4 linked regions of the Nothobranchius furzeri genome follow. The protein of the gene in region 3 purifies or fractionates together with the protein of the main gene of each other region. This does not show direct contact. Links are inferred from orthologs where the notes say so. Each region holds a gene or a part of one and is shown on either strand. Other genes may lie near its edges.

Region 1 (5,029 bases), on a different chromosome or scaffold from region 3:
CTAGATAAGTGTAATGTTCCTGTTAGTAGTTCCTCCTGTTAAGTGCTTATTTATTTAAATTATTCAGGTTTATAAAAGAAAGCATTTGGACATACACTTTATTATGTTCCAGGCATTAGTCATTTATATTTCACTATTGTAGTCATTTATAGTAAATAAAGTAAGTTTAATTAAGAGGGGAACCCATTTTTCTTGTATTCTTTAACGAAAAAAGTAACCAAGTAGTTATTTTTCTTGGTAATTAGTTACTTTTATAATCTCGTAACTTGGTAAGTAACTGAGTTACTTTTTGACAAAGTAATTAGTAACTACAACTAATTACTTTTTAAAAGTAACGTTCCCAACACTGCCAACGACTAACCCAAATGAAGCAGAAGAGTTACTAAACGTGACTCAACTCGCTGTCAACAGCCAAGTATAAATAAAAAACACAACTTCTAAATAATCAAATTCTCATTCAGCCTTAAAATAATCCATACCCAGAACTCCTGCAGGTCTGTCAGGTGGCTGATGTTCTCGATTTTCTTCACTCGATTGGCAGCAATGTCCAGTGTGGTGAGTTTTTTCTGTAAAAAAAAAAAAATGTAAAAGATTTTTTGAAAGTCCAGAACAAACACTGTTGTTTGTGCAGCTGAATGGTTTCTATGACTCACGTTGTTTTCCAGGCCCTCTATGACCTCAATCCCATTGTGGCTCAGATAGAGCTCTTTCAGGTTGACAAGGTTCTGCAGACCCTCAATCTTAGTAATCCGATTACTCTGCAAATAACAAAAACATATCAACCACTTTCTTAAAATACACACCTGAGTCCTGTTAGAAGGGGATTTGTCAAGGGATACCTGAATGCTTAAAACAGACAGGTTGTGTAAACTGTCCAAGTTTTGAAGCTTTGTTATTTTATTGGTGCCAAGAAACAAACTTTGCAAAGATGAAAGTCCATCCAGGTTCTCAATGACCTGCAAATACAAATGAAAGACACAAATGGACTGCCTAAAAGTAAAATCACAGTTATTTTATAAAATTTTCTGTGTTATTTACTCCAACTGTGAGAGTTTAGCCCCAAAATCTATACAGAGACCCATTTAGGCTCACCCTGATGCGATTAGAGCCCAGCTCTAGCATCTCAAGACTTGAGAGGTGGTCCACATTAGAGATGGTGCCAATTTTGTTGTGAAGCAGAAACAGTTTCTTCAGCTGAGTCAGCTCCTCCAAATTCTCCACCTTCCTCAAAACGTTAAAGGAAACATCGAGCAGCCTGCAGGTTCATTGTAACAAAACAAAGTAAACTTCCCCCATTCCTCTTAATTCCGTAAAGAAGCTGGTGCTTTTTGGTCAAAAACGATATTTTCCCAGACTTACTCTAACTCTCTGAGGTTGCTCAGGTTCTCTAGCTTGCGGATTTGATTGTCATAGAGATCTAGCTCCCGCAGGGAGCTCAAACTCTGAAGGTTTTCTATGGTTTTGATGAGGTTTTGTCGTAAGGAGAGCGTCTAGATGTACAGAGCAAAGCAATAAATAAATACAGTCTGTGGTTATTATGCAGGACAGTTTTAGATTGTTAAAAGCATCCGTCTGGTTTAAATGTCACACAAACATTGATAAATAACCCACCTTAGCCTTCTGCAGCACCTCAAGTCCTTCAATTTTTCCAATACGACAGTGAACAAGATCAACATCCTAGAAGGAACGTGGAGAATTAACGATAATGAATGTAAGACATATTAATATATTTTTATTAAGTAATATACTTCAATAATTGTGTTCGTTTTGCATTTGGGATGAAAATAGTTTTATTTAGAAGGCAGTCTAACCTCTTCTTCTGGGTCCAAGGTAATGGTGTCCATGTCAACAGGTGATTCTTCTTTACCTCAAGTGAGAAAGAATAAACAAGCTTGGCATTCCTTTGCACATTAACCAGTCTGACTGATGAAGCATGTTTAATGCCGGAGAACTGTGGAGGGCTTACTTGCAGCAGTAGGCTGATTGGGGTCCACATCACCATTGATACCCTTCCTCCTGGTCTCATCATCACCAGACTCCTCAGACTCACCTCTTCGGTCTACTGCAGTCAACAAAGAGAAGCTTTATTGTAAAACGTTGTCACAAAGTTTGCGGATTGACCAGACCAGTACTTGTTCCCTGTTGTTTTTAAGACCTAACACATAACTTATCCTTCCACTGATCATACGCAGGCAAACTTTGTGTTAAAAGATGAAAGTTAAGATAAAATGCTAAAAAAAAATAGAGCAAATTATCTTTTTGACAAGCTGCAAGCAAAAACAGTGTCTGAAGTGTCTTTCCTCCCTTTTTTCTCGATGTGTCAACACTGGTTCATCCTTTGAGCTTTGAAGTATTTTTGTTCCTGAATGATTCATAGATCCGAAATAAGCAGCTTAAACAAAAACATTTCAAAAACTCGCTCTAAAATAGACTGGGTGTAGACTGGTAATAAGTAAAAAAGCAGTCCAATGTCTAGAGAGAGTCTTTAAAAAGATCCTTAGGAATATTGAATGAAAGCACTAGGTGGGGTGTCATATCTCAGTCTCAGAGGAGTATGTAAGTATGCTACTTTTGCCAATAAATGTTGATCGTATATCATGTTTAGGAGCTGTTTTTCTACACTTAGCAATGTCCAGCGAAAGTGGAATCAACAAGAGAATAGGCACGACACTAAAACCAGACTTACTGATTACTAAATAAACCGTTTCAGCAACATTCCGAGTCTTACCAGTTTGAAATGTGAGGTTTGACACTTTAAATAGACACTTTACGCAATGCTAAACGAGCAAGGTAGCTCGGCAGCTGAATGCAAGGAAGCTCAAAAGTAAAGCAAATACATTTAAACCAGTTAAATGCACAGCATGCAATCGACTTAAGACCTTAACTTCTGCGTTCAGCACTGCATCTATATCATGCCGAGTAAAACTCGTTAAAAAGTACAGAGTGACTAGATGCTACGTTGATAACGCCAACTAGCTAACGTCTTGTTGATAGCCTGTTAGCTGACAAACCCAGGATGAATGACTGGTCAGTAACAGAAACAACGAGTCACCGAGAGCGATTTTATTCAAATTTATATAATATCTTCAGATGGTTGCATCTTCCTCAGTCTGATAAAGTCATATCAGGATGGCTTGTTTGAGTGATTTTGTACTCACCTTCCATTTCTTGTGGCTCTCCAACAACCAGGGAAGCCATGTTTCTTGTAAACACTCCTGGCAACCGCTCGGCCAATCAGGTGGAAGTGCAGACGGCACTCATACACTAGATGGCGCTGTTGCTCCACACTGAAAAATAACACAGACAATATTATTTATTTATTTTTAATTTAGTTAGTTAGTTAGTTAGTTAGTTAGTTAGTTAGTTAGTTAGTTAGTTAGTTAGTTATTCAAATGTATTGCAATGCTTACTATGTGAAGTGCCTTGAGACGACTCTTGCCCTGATTTGGCGCTCTATAAATAAACTTGAATTGAATTGAAATAGCCCAATGTGTTATGATTTAAAATATCTGTGAGATACTGGGACTAAATGTACACTACCAAGAAGATCACAAGAACATCAAAGAATTCATGGATTTAACCATTTTGCATAAATGTTTGCATCCTCAAACATATTTTAGTTTAACTAAATGTCTGATCATTTGAATGAAACGTGCTGACTTAAATAATTTTATTGTCTGTTTTAGCAAAACTAATATACATTCTAACATATGGTTTACAGCTTATAAAAACCCTAAAATAAAAATCTCAGACAGTTAAAATATTGTTTAAAGGTTTAATAGGCTCAAAGTGTGACATTCAGCCAATTGATCCAAAACACATGCAAATGGTTCCAAAGGCTTTAAATGGTCACTCAGTTGGAGTGAAATACTGAAATAAATGGACTTTTGCACTATATTCATAATAAATATAATGTGGGGGCTGTTGCTTTGCAGCAAGAAGGTCCTGGGTTGATATCCTGGCCTGTGGTCTCTCTGCAAGGAGCCTGCATGGTCTCCTTGTGCACGTGTGGGCTCTCCTCAGGTACCCCAGTTTCCCACCACATTACAAAAACACGACTATCAGGTTAATTGGTCTGTCTAAAATTGTCCTAAGGTGTGTGTGCTTCATTGTCTGTCCTGTATGTCTTTGTGTTTCCCTGCGATGGACTGGCAACCTGTCCAGGGTGTACCCTGCCTGCCTACCTGCCCACCGACTGCCGGAGGCTGGCTCCAGCCCCCTTAAAACCCTGCATGGACCAGTGGGCTCAGATAATGGATGGATGGATATATAATGTGGCAGGTTCTACACTCACTGGCCACTTTATTTACATCTGTCAAACTGCTCGTTAACACAAATTACTAATCAGCCATTCACATGGGGGCAACTCAGTGCATTTAGGCATGTTGACATGTTTAAGATGATGTGCTGCAGTTCAAACCAAGCTTCCGAATGGGGAAGAAAGGAGATTTCATTGATTTGGAGCGTGGCATGATTGTTGGTGCCAGCTGGGCTGGTCTGAGTATTTCAGGAACTGCTGATCTTCTGGGATTGTCACACACAAACATCTTTAGGGTTTACAGAGAATGGTCCAAAACAGGAAAAACATCCAGTGAGCGACAGTTCTGTGGGTGAAAATAAATTGTTGATGTCAGAGGTCAGAGGAGAAAGGCCAGACTAGTTTAAGCTGATAGAACAACAACATTAACTCAAATGACCACTCGTTACAACCAAGGTATGCAGAGCATCTCTGAACGCACAACACGTTGAACCTTGAGGCAGATGGGCTACAACAGCAGATTTCCACACCAGGTGCCACTCCTGTCAGCTAAGAACAGGAATCTGAGGCTATAATTCACTCAGGTTCACCAAAACTAAACAATAAAAGATTGGAAAAATGTTTCCTGGTTTGATGAGTCTTGATTTCCGCTGCGATATTCGGATGGTAGGGTCACAATTTGGCATCAACAACATGAAAGTCTGGATCCATGCTATCATTTCAATATGGACCAAAATCTTTAAAGAAAGTTTCCAGTATTTTGTTGAATGT
Region 2 (5,190 bases), on a different chromosome or scaffold from region 3:
CAGTTGCTACCCATAACTAAGTACATCTCCTTTGAATACCATGCCATCTGGGTAACTGCACCGAAAATTATTCTTTATGGTTGTTATATATCGACAACCAGGACAACACGGAGACTTTCTAGATGAACTTGACACCCTGCTCTCCTCCATTCCTGAGCATGACTGTCCCACAATGGTCCTTGGAGACATGAATATTCATCTGGACAACCCCATTTCATCAGGTTTCCTGTCCTTAATGTTATCATTTGATCTAAAAACGGTACAAAGTTCATTCTCTGCCAGCATCACTAATGCAAAGAAAGCTTTCTACACTGACAAAATTCTCAGCACTTCTGACACTCAGAAACCAACTCCCTTCCTCCAAATCGTGTGGAGAACTACCGACCTATCTCTCTCCTCCCGTTCCTGTCTAAAATCATCGAAAAGGCGGCCTTCAAGCAGGTTGCAGAGCACCTCTCACAAAACTATCTGCTTGACCCATACAAATCTGGGTTCAAAAATGGCCACTCCACTGAAGCCTTAAAATAAGCTAGAGCGACTGCCCAAATCCTCAGTGCTTATCCTGCTTGACTTATCTGAATTTGACACAGTCAACCGTGGCTTCTTTTTGTCCATACTCTCTAGCATGGGCATCACAGGGAAAGCACACTCCTGGTTTGAATCTTACCTGACTCGGACAATCTTCTGCTGTTTACCATCTTGCCACAGGAGTCCCCCAGGGCTCTTTACTAGGACCTCTTCTCTTTGCCACATACACCACCACATTGGGTGAGATCATTCGATCGCATGGCCTCTCCTACCACTGCTATGCTGACGACACCCAGCTCTATCTGTCATTCTCGTCCGGACGACCTCACAGTCTCTGTACAAATCTTGGACTGTCTTTCTGATATATCAAGATGGATGAAATCTCACCATCCCCAACTCAACCTCTCAAAAACTGAATTACTTGACATCCCAGCAAACCCATCCATACGACACAATATCTCAATGCAAAACGAGCCCCTATCTCTGGCTCCTTCACACACAATTTGAAATTTGGGTGTTGTGATTTATGACCAGCTGACCTTTAACTCATTACCTTCCGGTCGTTTCCTGATCAGTAAAGCCCTTCGCTGCCAGAGGTTTTCAGCGTTTTCACAGTTTTTTGAAAAGTCACCGAACGTTGCACTCTATGATGATGTCAACGCCCAAACTACCAAAACAAAGAGTAGACTCACCTCTTACATCTGGAATAATCTGCGTGTTTAGAGTGTTATCCATTTTTTCATAATCCGTTGTCGAATTGTGATCGGCAGAAGCTTTTCTGGATCGTGCCTCACTTTTTTTTTTACAGCAGCAGCCCAAAACGATCTCCTAACACATGGATTTTTTGCTTCCTGATCATGTGACGTGTGATGTACATGGATAAAGATCAGCTTTAGAGCTGGGATGTTTGTTCTCACGGTACGGGAGCTCGTTCCGACACCCACACAGTAAAAAAAAAAATACAAATGATGACTTTAGTCATCAATGGCAGGAAATGAGTTAAAGATCAAGTTGCCTCTGTCACTCGTTCATGCCGCTTCATGCTGTATAACATATAAAAGATCAGACCATATCTAACAAAATATGCCACCCAGCTCCTGGTTCAATCTACAGTCATCTCCAACCTCAACTACTGCAATGCCCTTCTAACTGGTCTTCCTGCCTGTACTGCGAGATCTCTTTGACCTTGTCCATTTTCAAGAAACTCCTGAAGACCCAGCTCGTCAGAGAGCATCTTCTAAGCTAGCACCCTCCCTGCACCCGTCCCCCACTCTACTGTCCACTCCTTATTCACTTCCCTTTACGATTCATTATGCTGCCTCACTGCCACCTAGGATTGACTGATTAGTGTTTGTTGTAAGCCTCAAGGGCAACCTGCTGGCTTCATTATTACTTGTAGGTCTTTTGGACAAAAGCGTCTGCTAAATACATGAACATAAACATACCTGTTTTGCTGAAGGCGTCATGCCCATCTGAACAACGATGATGGCTCGAGTGATATTCTCCTCCTGCATTCTCTGACAGTACATTTTAATGGTCTTGATCCCCACCTTGGGTTCCTCTGGTGGGACAAAAATGGACAAAAAAAAGATGAATTCATAACAATTTTCTTCAAATCAAACACGCTTCTCTGTTCCAAATGTAATCACCCAGTTACTTCTAGAAAAGACTGATGCACTGAGCAAAAGTCACAAAAGTCACCTGGTCTCCATTTCTGTTCAATCTCCCAGTTAAAATAAACATACCGGGAAAGAAAACAAACATCTGGTCAGTGGGATCATCATTGTGTGCCACCAGCACCGTGAGATCTGTTCGTCTGGGACGACCTTCGCTCGGTTTGTCTCCAAACTGACTCTTGAACTCCTCCAGAGTCTGGTCCAACTCGTCCTGGGTCACAAGGTAACCTCGATCATGGCACAGCTGAAGGAGGAAAACATCAGAGAAGGTATCAGAAAACTCATTTAATAAACATTAAAATTAAATAATTCGTCTGTTATTTTGTCGAACTTAAACACACTTATTTAAATTTTACAGAAACAATTGTTGCAGTCAGGTTAGAGCCGCTAGTCTTGCTTCGTACTTTGGTAAACTGCTTAAAATACCAGTGGAACAAGTGTTGAACAAGCTAGTGTTTAGCCAGGCTGTCATAATGTTAAAATAAGGAGTACACAAGTCAAATTTAACGGAACTTCAGTGATAAAAAATACATTCATTCATGTTGAGCTAACGAGCTAAAAGAGGCTAACAAGCTAAATAAAGAAAACATTCAAACCTAACGAACCTGCATGATGGTTTTGCGGATCTTCCAAAGTCTATATGTTTCCTCTTCATCATCCATGTCCTGCTAAATAAGCTGTGTGCACTAGATTTGGTCAGAAAATGATTTTTTTTTTGTTATCAATATCGCTCTTTAAGCGAACGCACGTTTCCCGATTGACTGACACAGGCTGATGACGTCAGAAAAGCTGACCTGAAGGGGTTTGCTCCTTCTCTGCTTTGCCGGTGTTCATGTGCTTTTTTATCTGACTAAAGACCAGGAATGGGGTTTTTCGCTTGGTTCAGAGACCTTCTAAAGTTATTGCGCCTCTAGCATTTGTTAACGACAGTGCCATCTTACAACGAGGCTTTTCCAGCAAATTAACTTCAAAGACGTCATCATAAACCAGCAATCACCGCCGCTGTTCTGTTAGTTAAATAAAGATTTTCGCCACTAGAGGGCAGATTTGTGTCCCCTGTTGGATAATTTTAATTACATCATGTCCCCATTATTTATCAGTATGGAAAGCATGCTGGAGTCAGACCATTTGTTCGTTCTTACACAATCAGACTAGATGCATCATTGTGGATCAGTACACGGAAATGTGTCAAGACTGTGTGCGCCACGAATCGTATCCTAAATGAACAAGGTGTGAAAAGTGGGTGTTGCTGTATTTAGTCTGATTGTGTAAGACCGAACACCCCAGCAATCTTTCTGTGCAGATAAATAATGGGGGCATGATCTAATCCATGTCCCAGATAAAGTAAATAATTTATCCAACACCCTCCTCCTTCGATTTGAACGTTAAAGCCATCAAATGGTGAAACTCTGTACGACCTCTAATTGATTGTATTAGATAGAGGGTGTTTGTTTCAGTGCGAGTGACGTGCTGTACATGCTGCTTCGTGAGTAAACTCCCCCTCTCGCACAGCGCGCCGTGACATGCGCCAGAGACTTAATGGTGCAGACTCCATGATTTCCGACAACAATGCTCAATACAACAACAACGACAACAGTGATGATGATGATGATGATGATGATGATAATAATAATAATAATAATAATAATAATAATAATAATAATAATAATAATTTTACCCTTGGCCCACCTAGTAGCCTACAACGGGGCGGAGTCACGTGCAGCTACAACGAACAACCGAACAACGCATGGATTTTCGACAGAAGTGACCTTTTCTATAACTAAATGAGGCCGTTATATGTTGTTTTGGGCTTGGGGGCTGTGGCGAGCAGCGGGACACTACTGGCCGTGATTTTGTATTTTGTTTTATCCACGGCAGCGGTAAAGTAAACCTCCGTGATACTTGGCTTGTTTTATAATGAGATTTAGAAGTTGTGTAACTGAATATGGCTGCTGTGACATCTGTGGTGCCCTTGCGGGCACGATTGCAGACAGTATTTACACAGGCAACGCACTTCAGGTTGTGTAAATGTTGAAAGTCACGATAGGACACCAGCATTCCTCTGCATCATCCCCACCCCCCTGTTGCGACAAGCTGATAAGCCTATCATCATCATAGTATTAATACCTTCATGGTATAAACACTTTTCTGTTAGTTTTAGATTTATTTTTGTTCTGTGTCTAATTTGTGACCATCTTTGTAAATCAGAACTGTATTAGTAAATGATGTCATCACCTTCTCTAATTGCACATTTTCTGATTTGCTCAGCGTTTCTTCCTTCCTGCACTTTAACCTCATAAGCACACAATGCTGTTTATTCTAACAGCTTGAAACACTCATTCGTTTGTCGTCAGGGATTTATATGATTTGTTTGTTGGCCCTGACCGCGCTTGTGTAACAGACTGTTTTATATGAATAATCACATTATGCGTTTGATTGGACTTTTACCTTTCGCCCGAGTCACATGCACCTCATCTTTCTGTGAGTTTTATGACATAGCTATGAACTTTGGCCTGCAGCACGCGTGCTTTTGATCAGGGTTTGTTTTGTTAGGACCTAAGAGAGGAACCTATTGGAGAAATCCAGCTTATCATTTCTGGTCATTTCGACCCGCCCCTTGTACATTAAGGCTCTGTCAGATGTGAGGTTCAGCAGTGAGGGGGTTGCTCTGACAGATTAGATTGTTCTGTAACAGAGAAGCTGAGAGAGGGGCAGCCATGCGCCTGTTAGGGTGCACAGTGTTTCTCTCTGTCCTGCTGCAGGCTATGGTAAGGGACTGACATTTTGATTTATTCGTTGTATTTATTCTATAATGCATTTTTGTTCATTTGCACCAAGATATATTTTTAATCAGGAAGGTTTCTCTTTATGTCTCTAGTAAGATTTTTTCCCCCACCTTTGTCAACAGTCGTCCCCAACAGAGGACTGGCAGAGAGCCACGTCCATTTATGAATTCAACGCAACAGACATCGATGGAAATCTGGTG
Region 3 (5,041 bases):
AATACTAAAAAAAAACCCACAGAAATATTAAAACTCTCCACCATTTAGCATCTGGCTGACAGAGAGGCATGCATGTAGGTGCAGGCTTCAGCCATATGACTGATCTAAACACAACACTACTATGTGTGTTCTTACATAAACACATTAATCAGCGGATGAGTTGAACAGGATCTGTTTCAGTCTGCAGCTAACATCCTGTTTTATGCTTCTCTGTTTACATTATCAGGACCTTCATGGAGGAGTGAATGAGAGCTAGCTTCTATTCCCTCCATTTGAGAGGAACAATCCTCCTTTCCCACCGGGATCATAATGTAAGAAGAGCACCTGGCCTCCTCTTTAGTCTACAGTTTGCCAGCACAGGACGCGATGTCCATGCACCACCGTGTGAGCACAGTTACCTGATGAGCACGGCAGATCAGATCGAGGTCATGCTTGTGCAGAAACTTGGCAACCACCTCTGAGCCGAAGGTGAACGAGACCCCCCTGTCATTCTCGCCCCAGCCCAAAACATCTTTGTCTGGATCGGACCAAAGCAGATCACACAGGAGGCCCTGGTCAGGCACGTCCGTGGGCCGCATGATGCGTCTGATCTGCTCCATCGACTGAAGGTCAGGTGACAGTCCTGAAAGCAACAACACAGCAGTTGTACAAACAAACAAACTGATACAGAGGTCAGACCTACTTCACATGGGTCGCTGCAAACACCAGTCAACATCATTTCACAATGACAAATAAGAACGGCTGACGTCAAAGCCAAGCCTCTTCTGACGAGCTGCTTTCCACTAGGCAACATAAACGTTCTGATTAAACATCAATATTCTGTTAAAGACAAAACACACCTCCATGACAGCAAAATATCTTTTCATCCACAATGGCAGCAATAGGGAGGCAATTAAAACAATCCGTGAAGGTCTTCCAGAGTTTGATGTTGTACCTTCGTTTACCTAAAACAAGACAAATAGTTATGCTTTTATTTTGAAGGCACAACAGCAACAAAAATTCAAGTTTTCACTAACCCCGGCTTTCCACAGGAGCCGTCAGCAGCGCGAGTCGGCCGCGTCTCAGGAGCAGCATGTCGCAGCCTTTACGCGCCAGTTCTATTTTCTACGCGCGACGCCTCTGAAACGGGTCAAGTTCGACATTTTTGGGGAAGGAAAGACAGGAAATCTGACGCGGAAAAGGAGAGAAGCTACAGAGATTTTCAGAATAAAGAACGTACTGCCTTCCGGTTGCTTTACTTTTAAAAAAGGTTACTAACTGTGCGTCCCCATGAGAAGTTATCACCTAGCTAGCGGTCTCCTTTGTTTTCAGGTCCGTATTGGCCATTATAAAACGGACAGAACATAAAACCCAAACCATGTTGTAGTTTTCTCCTGCTTGTTGTTGTGTTTACTGACGAAGTCACTCGTGTGACTTCGTGCTCTGTCGGTGACAGCTGCTCCCCTGCTGCTTCGCGTCTCGTGGGAAGGGCCAAGCAGCAGCTTACGCGAGCAAGACGTGCTGCTGCAGTAACGTGCTGCTGACGGCTCCCGTGGAAACCCGGGGTAAACGTTTAACAACATGAAAGCTGCTGCAAGTTCACACAAGAGACCAAACAGTGACACAATTAAATGGCAAGCTGCTCACACTCATCATAGAAACCGTATATTCTGTTGATTGAAGCACACTCATGGTTTCCCCTCAGCAGGAAGAAGTTCTCTGGGTATTTGATTTTGTAGGCCAGCAGAAGACAGATGGTTTCCAAAGACTGCTTCCCCCTGTCCACATAGTCGCCCAGAAACAGGTAGTTGCTCTCTGGAGGAAAGCCTCCATACTCAAACAGCCTCAGCAGGTCATAGTATTGCCCATGAATGTCACCTGCAAAACAAAACAAACAGCAATAAATAAATAAATAATGCACCTGCAAAAACTGGACAAGCAAGCTTTTAACTTTGGAATCAAATGTTGACATTTATGTAATTGGTAGAATCTAGCTCGAAGAGAAAAACGTTTATTAATAAGCAACAGTAAATAAAAAAATGATGGTTTTTACTAACCACATATTTTGAGAGGGGCCTCCAGCTCCAGAAGAATGGGTTGACTGAGAAAAATCTCCCTGGACTTCAGGCACAATCCACGAATCTCATTCTCCTGCAACTGCACATTCTTCCCAGGCTTTGCTCCTCTGACTGCAGAGAAAACACAAACATCAGTCAGCAAAAAAACAACATAACTATTGCTGCTTTGTCAGCAGTGCCTGATGCAGTATTTGTTTGGAAATGTAGGAAGTAACATACGTATTTGTACGAGATGCATCATCATACTATTATATTCTATCGGGACAAGCGTTACGAAGTTTATTTTGTTGGTTTAAAATATAGTAAACATGTTCATATGTATAATAGTAGATCATCTACTGTAGATGAGAAGGAATAAAAGCCAGCAGCAGCGGCTAAAATCATAGGTCACGCAAAGGCGGACTAGCGCCGGTATGCGCAACTACGTTAATATAGTTTAGTAACTGTTTTTACAAATCTTTCATTGTCATTTGATTATATTGAAAATTTACAATTAAAACACATTAGATGTCAATTCGGGAGTAAAACCAATAATAACGGAAAACATTAGCAAACGGGTTTCATGATATAATGCGCTGCCTGTTTGTAAAGCGTCAAAATTTGTGTAAATGTACAACATTTATGAACATACTTGCCTTCTAAAAGACGTTGAATAATACTGTCTATGTTGAGTTTGTCAACATCAGCCATTGCAGTCGTTTACTAAATGAACTCAGCCAAAGGTAGGTCTTTCAGTTCGGAGAGCTAACCCGCTAGCTATCCTAGCATTAGCTATCGTCTTAGCGATATTGATTTTCCGGTTTAGCGTGAAATATTTCAGATCAACCCAGTATCTGTTTACGTGCTGGCTAATAATTCATAAAATATAATAAGCTACTTAAAAAAATCGCAATATTTGTTCTCAGTAAAATCTAGTGTACGTCTTCATAAAAACCGCGACATAAAAATGTACGTAAGCTGCGCTAGCGCGGAGAGGAGACCAGTCTGTTTTCCTTTTCCGCTGCCGCACCTTGCTAACTAGCTGCTAAGAGCTAGCTGCTGCTAACTAAACCGCTGCTGCCTCCTACTGGTCTGGATGTGAGAACGCCTGAGCATATTATTATAAACACGACAAAGCTGCAGGTGGCACCTGGAGTATATGCACATGTCGATGGGTAGCACACAGACATTCATGTCTACGGAGAAGCAGCAGAAAGTGTCATGGCAGATATTCACATTTACCAGGAATATCAAGACGTCTTATAAGAGCAATCTGTTCAGAAATGTATTTATGTCTGTCTGGGCCTTGTCATAGGGTGAAAAAGAAAAAGAAAAAATATATAATTTATACATAATTTGCACACACACACACACACACACACACACACACACACACACACACACACACACACACACACACACACACACACACACACACACACACACACACACACACACACACACACACACACACACACACACACACACACACACACACACCTATGTAAATTAAGAAAGTTTCTTTTTACATATTATACTGTAGAATTTGATTCGTTATGAAATAGAAAAGCTGCATGATTGACTTATATTTTCTTATCTGAAGGGAACATCAGCTTATTACAAGATAATTATGGAGTAATTAATTAAAATGCACTTTTAAAAAATAGCAGATCAATGGGAAAGATAATATTGCAGCATTATGGAGACAACATTATTATGCAATGTAAAATTGTTTAAAAAGTGATCGGTATGAGGATGGCTCTGTTATTAATGATGAACATATAGATGTTTAACGACCCATGAGGTGCATGAAGCTATTCACAAACTAGCTGATAACAAGGCTTGTGGTCTGGATCACATTAGTGCAGAACATTTGAAATATACTAGCCTAAGGCTAGCTTCCCTTTTAGCTCTTTGTTTTACAGGGTTTATGATTCATGGCATACTACCAGACTCAATGATGGCAATTCTGCTTGTCCCAGTTATTAAGAACAAATCTGGGAAGGTGACCAGTATAGATAATTATAGGCCGATTGCACTAGCCAGTGTTTTATCTAGAAATAATCATATTTGATAGAATCACTGTGTACCTTAATTCCTTGGATAATCAGTTTGGCTTTAAGCCAAAACTTGGTACTGACATGTGTATATACGCACTTAAAGAAATGGTGAACCGGTATAGAAATAGAACTTCTTCTGTCCTTATGTGTTTTATTGATGCTTCTAAGGCTTTTGATCGTGTAAACCACAGAAAACCTTTTATTAAGTTAAAGCTACGGGGGGTCCCTGGGGTTATTGTGAGAATCCTGTCTTACTGGTATGCTCATCAGATGATGCAGGTTAAATGGGGTGGCAGCATCTCTGCACCATTTGGTGTTAGTAATGGTGTTAGGCAGGGTGGAATTCTGTCTATCTTATTTAATTTGTATGCTGATGACCTGGTGGTCTTCAGTCCAAGTAGTGCTGGTTTACAGCAGCTCCTGAATATCTGTTCTGAATATGGTGTGCAGTACGATATCCAGTATAATGCTGTTAAAAGTGCTATCTTGATATGTAGAACCAAGCAAGATAAAAAGCTAAACTTTCCTGTGTTCAAACTGTCTAATAGTGATCTTAATGTGTGTGAGAAGGTGAAATACCTTGGCTACTTTATAACTGATCAAATGCGTGGTGATGCTGACATCCACAGACAGTGCTGTAAGCTGTATGCACAAGCTAATACTATAGCTCGTAAGTTTGGTTTTTGTTCACCTCCAGTTAAGGTGGCTTTATTTAAAGCATATTGTACTCCGCTTTATACAGCCCAACTGCGGTCATCCTGCAATCACAGCAGCATGAATAAGCTGCACGTTGCACACAACGATGCCTTAAAGATCATACTCAAAATACCCAGTGTTTGTGTGGTTACTCTTAATCGTGTGGAACATCTCTGTAGTAAGTTTTTAAAAATAGATTTTAATTTTATTTTTATGCTTTTATAATTTTTATTTGTTCTATTTGTTTTT
Region 4 (5,353 bases), on a different chromosome or scaffold from region 3:
AATAAGAAATTTTTGGGCCGATACCGATATTAAGATCACTGTTATGGCCGATAACCAGTATTTGCCGATACCGTTATACCGACATTAATGCTTCTAAAATCAGCAGCTTTTGTATAGAATGAAAACGATTAAAGCTGAATTTATGTTACGTACACACATCACACACATTTACACTTATGAGATTATTACAATCACATGACTAAACAATTACACATCACCCCCCTCACCCTCACGATAAACAAATGGAGACAAGATGGGAAATATATCGGTTGTGAATATCGGCCTGGTTTTATTTATCGGACCGATACCGATATGTTAAATGACTAACATCGGCTGATACCGATACATTGTCCATCCCTACTGTGTACACAACAAAAAGCCGTGTTATTCACATATTTCTAGGCTTGATGTGAGATGGCTGTACCGTAAATTATGTGATTGAAATTGTACCTTCCGATTTCCACTGTAACTAATCTGCAGAGCCTAACCCCCAAATTCCACAACCTCTGCTCCGCCCCCGCCTTCCGCAGCCGCTCGCTTCCGAACTCAATTTTTACTGGTACCCGCTCTACAACGGCTCCGCTCCGGTGCGGAGACCTGAGCTGGGCAAACAAGCATGCGCGGGATTTTTGAGATCTTGCGATACAGTCCGAGCAATAAACGCAGAAGTTAGATCCAAACACCCGTTGTGTGGGAGAAGCATCGGCATGAACTGTTTAATCTGCCCATCATTTGTGTTGAGAGATCAGCAGTGTTTGGATCAACAAAGTGTGACTACTTTGATAGTAGAAACTGTATTTATGGCTTACTTTTGTGCATTTAAACTTCAGCCGTCATTGATCGTTGTTAAAAGTTGTTAAACCTGTTCATATGAAACAAGAAACGCCTTTTGTTTATTGATTTATTGTGAAAAACGGAAGTTGTGCTTGCTCCTTTTCCTGTTGGGCCGTTGTGATTTCTGTCCATTGACTGCGGAGGTGCTCCGGCAAAAATAGGATCGATTCTATTTTTGCCGGACGCCGGAACAGAGGGCGGCGCATGGCGCCGCACTGCCGGAGCACGGCCGCAGTAGTGGAATTGCTCTGATTGACTACAACGGGACCGATTTTGCTCCGGCGTTCGTGTCGGAGCGGAGCGGAGGTAGTGGAATTTGGGGGTGAAAGCTTTTGATCTGAACAGTCAACAACCTTTTCAATAAAACTTGCAAAACACAAAAAAACAGTGTGGCATTGTGACACTGACCTGGTGGGCATGAGGTGGTTGTAGTTGAAAACTTTGACAAAGGCCTTGATCTTGGACCTCTTGGCGATCTTCTTCTTGCCCATAGTTGTGGTCACTTTACGGGGATAGCGGTCAATGCCTGCAACCAGAGCGTGACTGTAGGGACGGTCGGCGGTGCCATCGTCAATGTTCTGCCAAGAGATCAATAAATTGTAAAATCAGGTTTGGTACAAATTTAAACATAAATGTTGCCACAAAGACAATGACAGCTGCTGCTAGAAATTTTCAACATTCTGAGCGGGATGACCAGTTATCTGGCTGTAGGATCAATCGGGCTACAGGCAGAGAACTCTGCTGTTGTGTCCTTGTGCAAGACATAGGGCTGGGCAATTAATAGAAAATGTATCTATTACATCTATTGTCCTAATTTTCCATGGCAATAAATTCAATAAAAAAATGGAAAGGTGTGTGGGTTGGGTTTGCACATACATGTAGTTATCGTTCATTTATCGTTATCGAGGTGAACTCCTCAATATACCATGATATTGATTTTAGGCCATATCGCCCAGCCCTAGCTAGACACCTCTCTCACCTTGGCTGCTGGTGGTGGTAAAAGGGACCAGTGCTGCCTGTTTGGCATCTTCGCCTGTCAGTGACCCAGGGCAGCTGTGGCTAAATTATAGATTGGGGGTAGGCAATCCTGATTCTCGAGTGCTGCCATCCAGCATGTTTTAATTACGTCCCCAGTTTCAACACACCGATTTTAATCAGCTGGTAATTAACAGGCTTCTGCAGAGCTCGAGCAGCTGAACAGGTGATTCAACCACTGGATCAGAAGTGTTGCAACTAAAATATGCTGAATAGCATCACTCGAGAACCAAGATTGTCTAATCACCACCAGTGTGTGAATGTATGAACTGCACTGTAGTGCAGGGGTATTCAATTCTGGTCCTCAAGGTCCAGTACCCAGCACGTTTCAGTGGTTTCTCTGATTCAACACATTTGATGCATCTGTGCAGCAGCTCATCAGGCTCTGCAGAAGCCTGTTAATCACCTGCGGACTGAAATCGGGTGTGTTGATGGAGTTAAAACTAAAAATGTGCTGGATATCAGATCTCCAGGCCCCACATTGCATACCCCTGCTGTATTATAAAGCACTTTGGTGTCCTCTTGGACTCTGAAAGGCACTATACCAGTACGATTATTGAACATTTCTTTCCACTAAATGTGACATTTCCATGAAGGTCTTTCAAAAACCCGTCAGTCACGTCTTGACCTGATATCTGTAGTTTCTGTATTGTGTCGAGACTTTTCACAGAGCCATCACAATCCAGCAGTAAATGACTAGTTTTACCTTCACGATTACCGCTTTACGTCCGGCGTAGCGTCCAGCTAGGACCATCACCACCTTTCCAGGCTTCATAAACTTGCCCATTGCTGTAAGAAGAAACACTTTAGGTGTCCGTTTCACTCAACAAAACAGTGCTGACCCACACACACCAAATGCCATCATTAAACATGAGTCTAGGCCTCGTTGGAACTGTATCGTAGTTAGCATTCAGCTACGGAACAGCTAATAAATCAGTTTTACACATTTATTTTGCTCTCACGTTCTCTACGAACTATTTTAACTCAACCTGAAATGTGTCCTAAATTAAACTAACAGATTGTTAATACATTAAAAAAAATACTCCAGCAAGTACGGCAATGAGTTAAACTCAGCGTTTACATTAAGGAAGCTGCCATGTTGGAAAGAGCGGAGGATGAGAAATGTTTCCACTCTAAAGCGCTAATTTTCTTCATAAATCAATGGGAAACGAACATAATAACGAATGTATACTGAAAAGGGGATGACTGCTTTGCATATGTTGAAATACAAACTACAGCACAAGGTAGCTCTGGCACGATGGATGAGGATTACTTGGAAGAAAAATTCACTCACTGATGCTGTTCTACGGCCACCGCTAGCAGGAAAGGAAGTGCTAAAGGATCTAGTCACCTTTGACCCGCTCATATTCCTACGTCACTTCCGGAAGTAGGTTTCAACTGTCGTTATTTATTTCTTTTAATTCAAGAACAATTCATTAAAAAAACAAATGTATTGGTTTACAAAAATGTAAACAAAAAACTGAAATATTGTTTGAATTCCGTTTTTAAAACGGTGTCCAACACTGGCTTTCAAGGGGCCCACTTTTATTTATTGATTTTTTAAAATAATACCACTAGTTGAAATTTTTTATATGTCGGATGGATAAGCCCCTCTTTCAAAACATAAGTTTTTCAGAGCCAGTCCCCTCCTCCTCCGGCCAGACGCTGGAAGCTTTGGAATCGTAGGACGTCCAAGGAAGGTCCCGGCTTTCTCGCCTCTGATTGGCTGGAAGAGCTCTACTACATTTGCTATTTCATGTCACTGCAAACCGTCTTTCCTAGCTGCAGGTTTTTGTCTGCAGCATCGGTCTGCAGCGGTGACTGTGGAAAGAGAGTCTGCAGCCAGATCTTGGGGAATTTGGTGAAGAAGTCCTGTTTTGCAAATATTTTTTTCTGTTTCTCTTATTTAAAAACCCTGAAAAACGTGAAATTTGATAAAATAATAAACCTTGTTACATTTATCACACTGCTTGACATATTATATCTGCTGGGTCTCAAGTATTGAGGTTATAGAACAAGTCAACCCCAAATCAGCTTTTTTTGCTGATAAACTAGGAGTGTCTAATCGTGCTCTATACACATGTAGTCCATAATTTGGCACTTTACTGCATCTTAGTTAAAATTTAAATATTCTGCCTAAAACTGTCAGTGTGGTGCCATCTTCAGGTAAAAACTCTGCACCACATTTGAATTTAAATCTGCCATTGCTGTTGGCCAAGAGGTACACCATGACGTTAGCTGGTACATTATGATGTCACAATGTTGTTCTGAGCTTGTGTGTGTGTGCATTTGTTAGTGGCTCCGCCCTGTCACTCTGCAGGCAACAGCATTTGTTGCTGCAACATAAGGTGGGAGTGGAGTAAGGGTCTTATTTTGCGCAGCTGTGTGCAGTGTGCATTTAACACTACTGCTTAGTCAAAGATGGGTTGAAATATAACGTGTTGGTAGGGCTGGCTAGGTAAGAAAAGTGGAGCTAGGTAAGCTAACCTAGGCAAGTGGAGGCTTCGTTGGTCCACCACGGTCAAAGATCCGTGAGGTCGCACCTGCAGAAGGGAGGTTTGCCGAGTTTTGGTAATGTTTCTCTCCCTTTAGCAGCGTTGGCCTTTTGATCAGAGATCCGCAATCTGCCTTTTAGCTCAGTTTATGTTGGTTCAGAGTCTTTGAGTGTCAATCATTTGCTCTCACCCGCACAGCCCACTCTCAGCTCCACCTCTTTTCCCATTTTTGGATATGTCTGGATGTGACGGCAGGTGTGACATGGCCAAGATGACGGTGGTGGCAACCGTCCATTTGCACTCATTAGCAAATTTAGACAGAAATGGGAGGGCTTTATGTATAATAAAATATACCCAACACCCAATGACTCGAATGTCCCACTTGAACTTTGTCATATAACGATTCGCTGGATAACATTTATGAAGTAATTTGAATGAGAATTCTTGACCTTATTTGTTAGAAAATACTTGTTAGGAATTGTCTGTGTTCTTTTCCAAATAATATTACTGACAAAAGAATTCTGATAAGAAATCAGATACGGATTACATAAGGTTGCTCTTATATTTATAGTTTCTCTAAAGCACGAATATTGTTTTTATGTTCAGCAAGACAAAAATTTCCAACAGGGTTGGGCGACAATCTTCTTCTTTAATTTTGAAGGTAAAGATTCACAACTTCCGGTGATTCCCTGTAACTCCTGCTTGTTCCTCCCTGACGTATGAATCATCTTTCCCAAGATGGCGAAGCACCTGTTTGTTCGGCGATGTCTTTTTTTTGTCTTCGGCGCGCTACTAGACAACTAACCATCTGAAACACGGCGGTAACAAACTGAGGACCAACAGTAAAGGGCTGGAGTAAACTACGTCGTCCAACATGTCCACAGAGGAGCTGTCAGCCTCGGACAGCGAGGCTGTGTTCGCCGGCGCAGGAGAGCGATGGGCACCGGTGGGCGCTGTGGCCAGCCCCGAGGATGAGAGCGGTGGGCAGC

Evidence for each region. Proteins that work in one complex are often made in the same cells at the same time.
Region 1: the proteins of ppp1cc (region 3) and ppp1r7 purify together in Homo sapiens (affinity purification with mass spectrometry; 8 studies listed by BioGRID and IntAct, counting the BioPlex papers as one, with this or other methods). This does not show direct contact. The link is inferred for Nothobranchius furzeri from reciprocal best matches to the Homo sapiens genes PPP1CC and PPP1R7.
Region 2: the proteins of ppp1cc (region 3) and polr2eb purify together in Homo sapiens (affinity purification with mass spectrometry; 4 studies listed by BioGRID and IntAct, with this or other methods). This does not show direct contact. The link is inferred for Nothobranchius furzeri from reciprocal best matches to the Homo sapiens genes PPP1CC and POLR2E.
Region 4: the proteins of ppp1cc (region 3) and rpl27 purify together in Homo sapiens (affinity purification with mass spectrometry; 3 studies listed by BioGRID and IntAct, with this or other methods). This does not show direct contact. The link is inferred for Nothobranchius furzeri from reciprocal best matches to the Homo sapiens genes PPP1CC and RPL27.

Annotation. Positions count from the first base shown.
Region 1 is NC_091751.1:53,578,737-53,583,765, forward strand, and holds the start of ppp1r7 (protein phosphatase 1 regulatory subunit 7), read right to left. Parts: upstream 3,270-5,029; 5' UTR 3,199-3,269; coding exon 3,159-3,198; intron 2,063-3,158; coding exon 1,967-2,062; intron 1,868-1,966; coding exon 1,812-1,867; intron 1,678-1,811; coding exon 1,612-1,677; intron 1,491-1,611; coding exon 1,360-1,490; intron 1,256-1,359; coding exon 1,093-1,255; intron 957-1,092; coding exon 840-956; intron 759-839; coding exon 654-758; intron 567-653; coding exon 480-566; intron 1-479. UniProt on the Homo sapiens protein: Regulatory subunit of protein phosphatase 1.
Region 2 is NC_091748.1:48,493,575-48,498,764, reverse strand, and holds the start of polr2eb (DNA-directed RNA polymerases I, II, and III subunit RPABC1), read right to left. Parts: upstream 3,270-5,190; 5' UTR 2,867-3,269; coding exon 2,810-2,866; intron 2,449-2,809; coding exon 2,274-2,448; intron 2,090-2,273; coding exon 1,974-2,089; intron 1-1,973. UniProt on the Homo sapiens protein: DNA-dependent RNA polymerase catalyzes the transcription of DNA into RNA using the four ribonucleoside triphosphates as substrates.
Region 3 is NC_091757.1:28,391,992-28,397,032, forward strand, and holds the start of ppp1cc (serine/threonine-protein phosphatase PP1-gamma catalytic subunit A), read right to left. Parts: upstream 3,057-5,041; 5' UTR 2,748-3,056; coding exon 2,693-2,747; intron 2,169-2,692; coding exon 2,037-2,168; intron 1,858-2,036; coding exon 1,627-1,857; intron 945-1,626; coding exon 840-944; intron 623-839; coding exon 399-622; intron 1-398. UniProt on the Homo sapiens protein: Protein phosphatase that associates with over 200 regulatory proteins to form highly specific holoenzymes which dephosphorylate hundreds of biological targets.
Region 4 is NC_091745.1:6,315,984-6,321,336, forward strand, and holds the start of rpl27 (large ribosomal subunit protein eL27), read right to left. Parts: upstream 3,270-5,353; 5' UTR 3,164-3,269; intron 2,659-3,163; 5' UTR 2,657-2,658; coding exon 2,576-2,656; intron 1,413-2,575; coding exon 1,243-1,412; intron 1-1,242. Other genes in the region: rundc1 (RUN domain-containing protein 1), read left to right, coding at 5,239-5,353.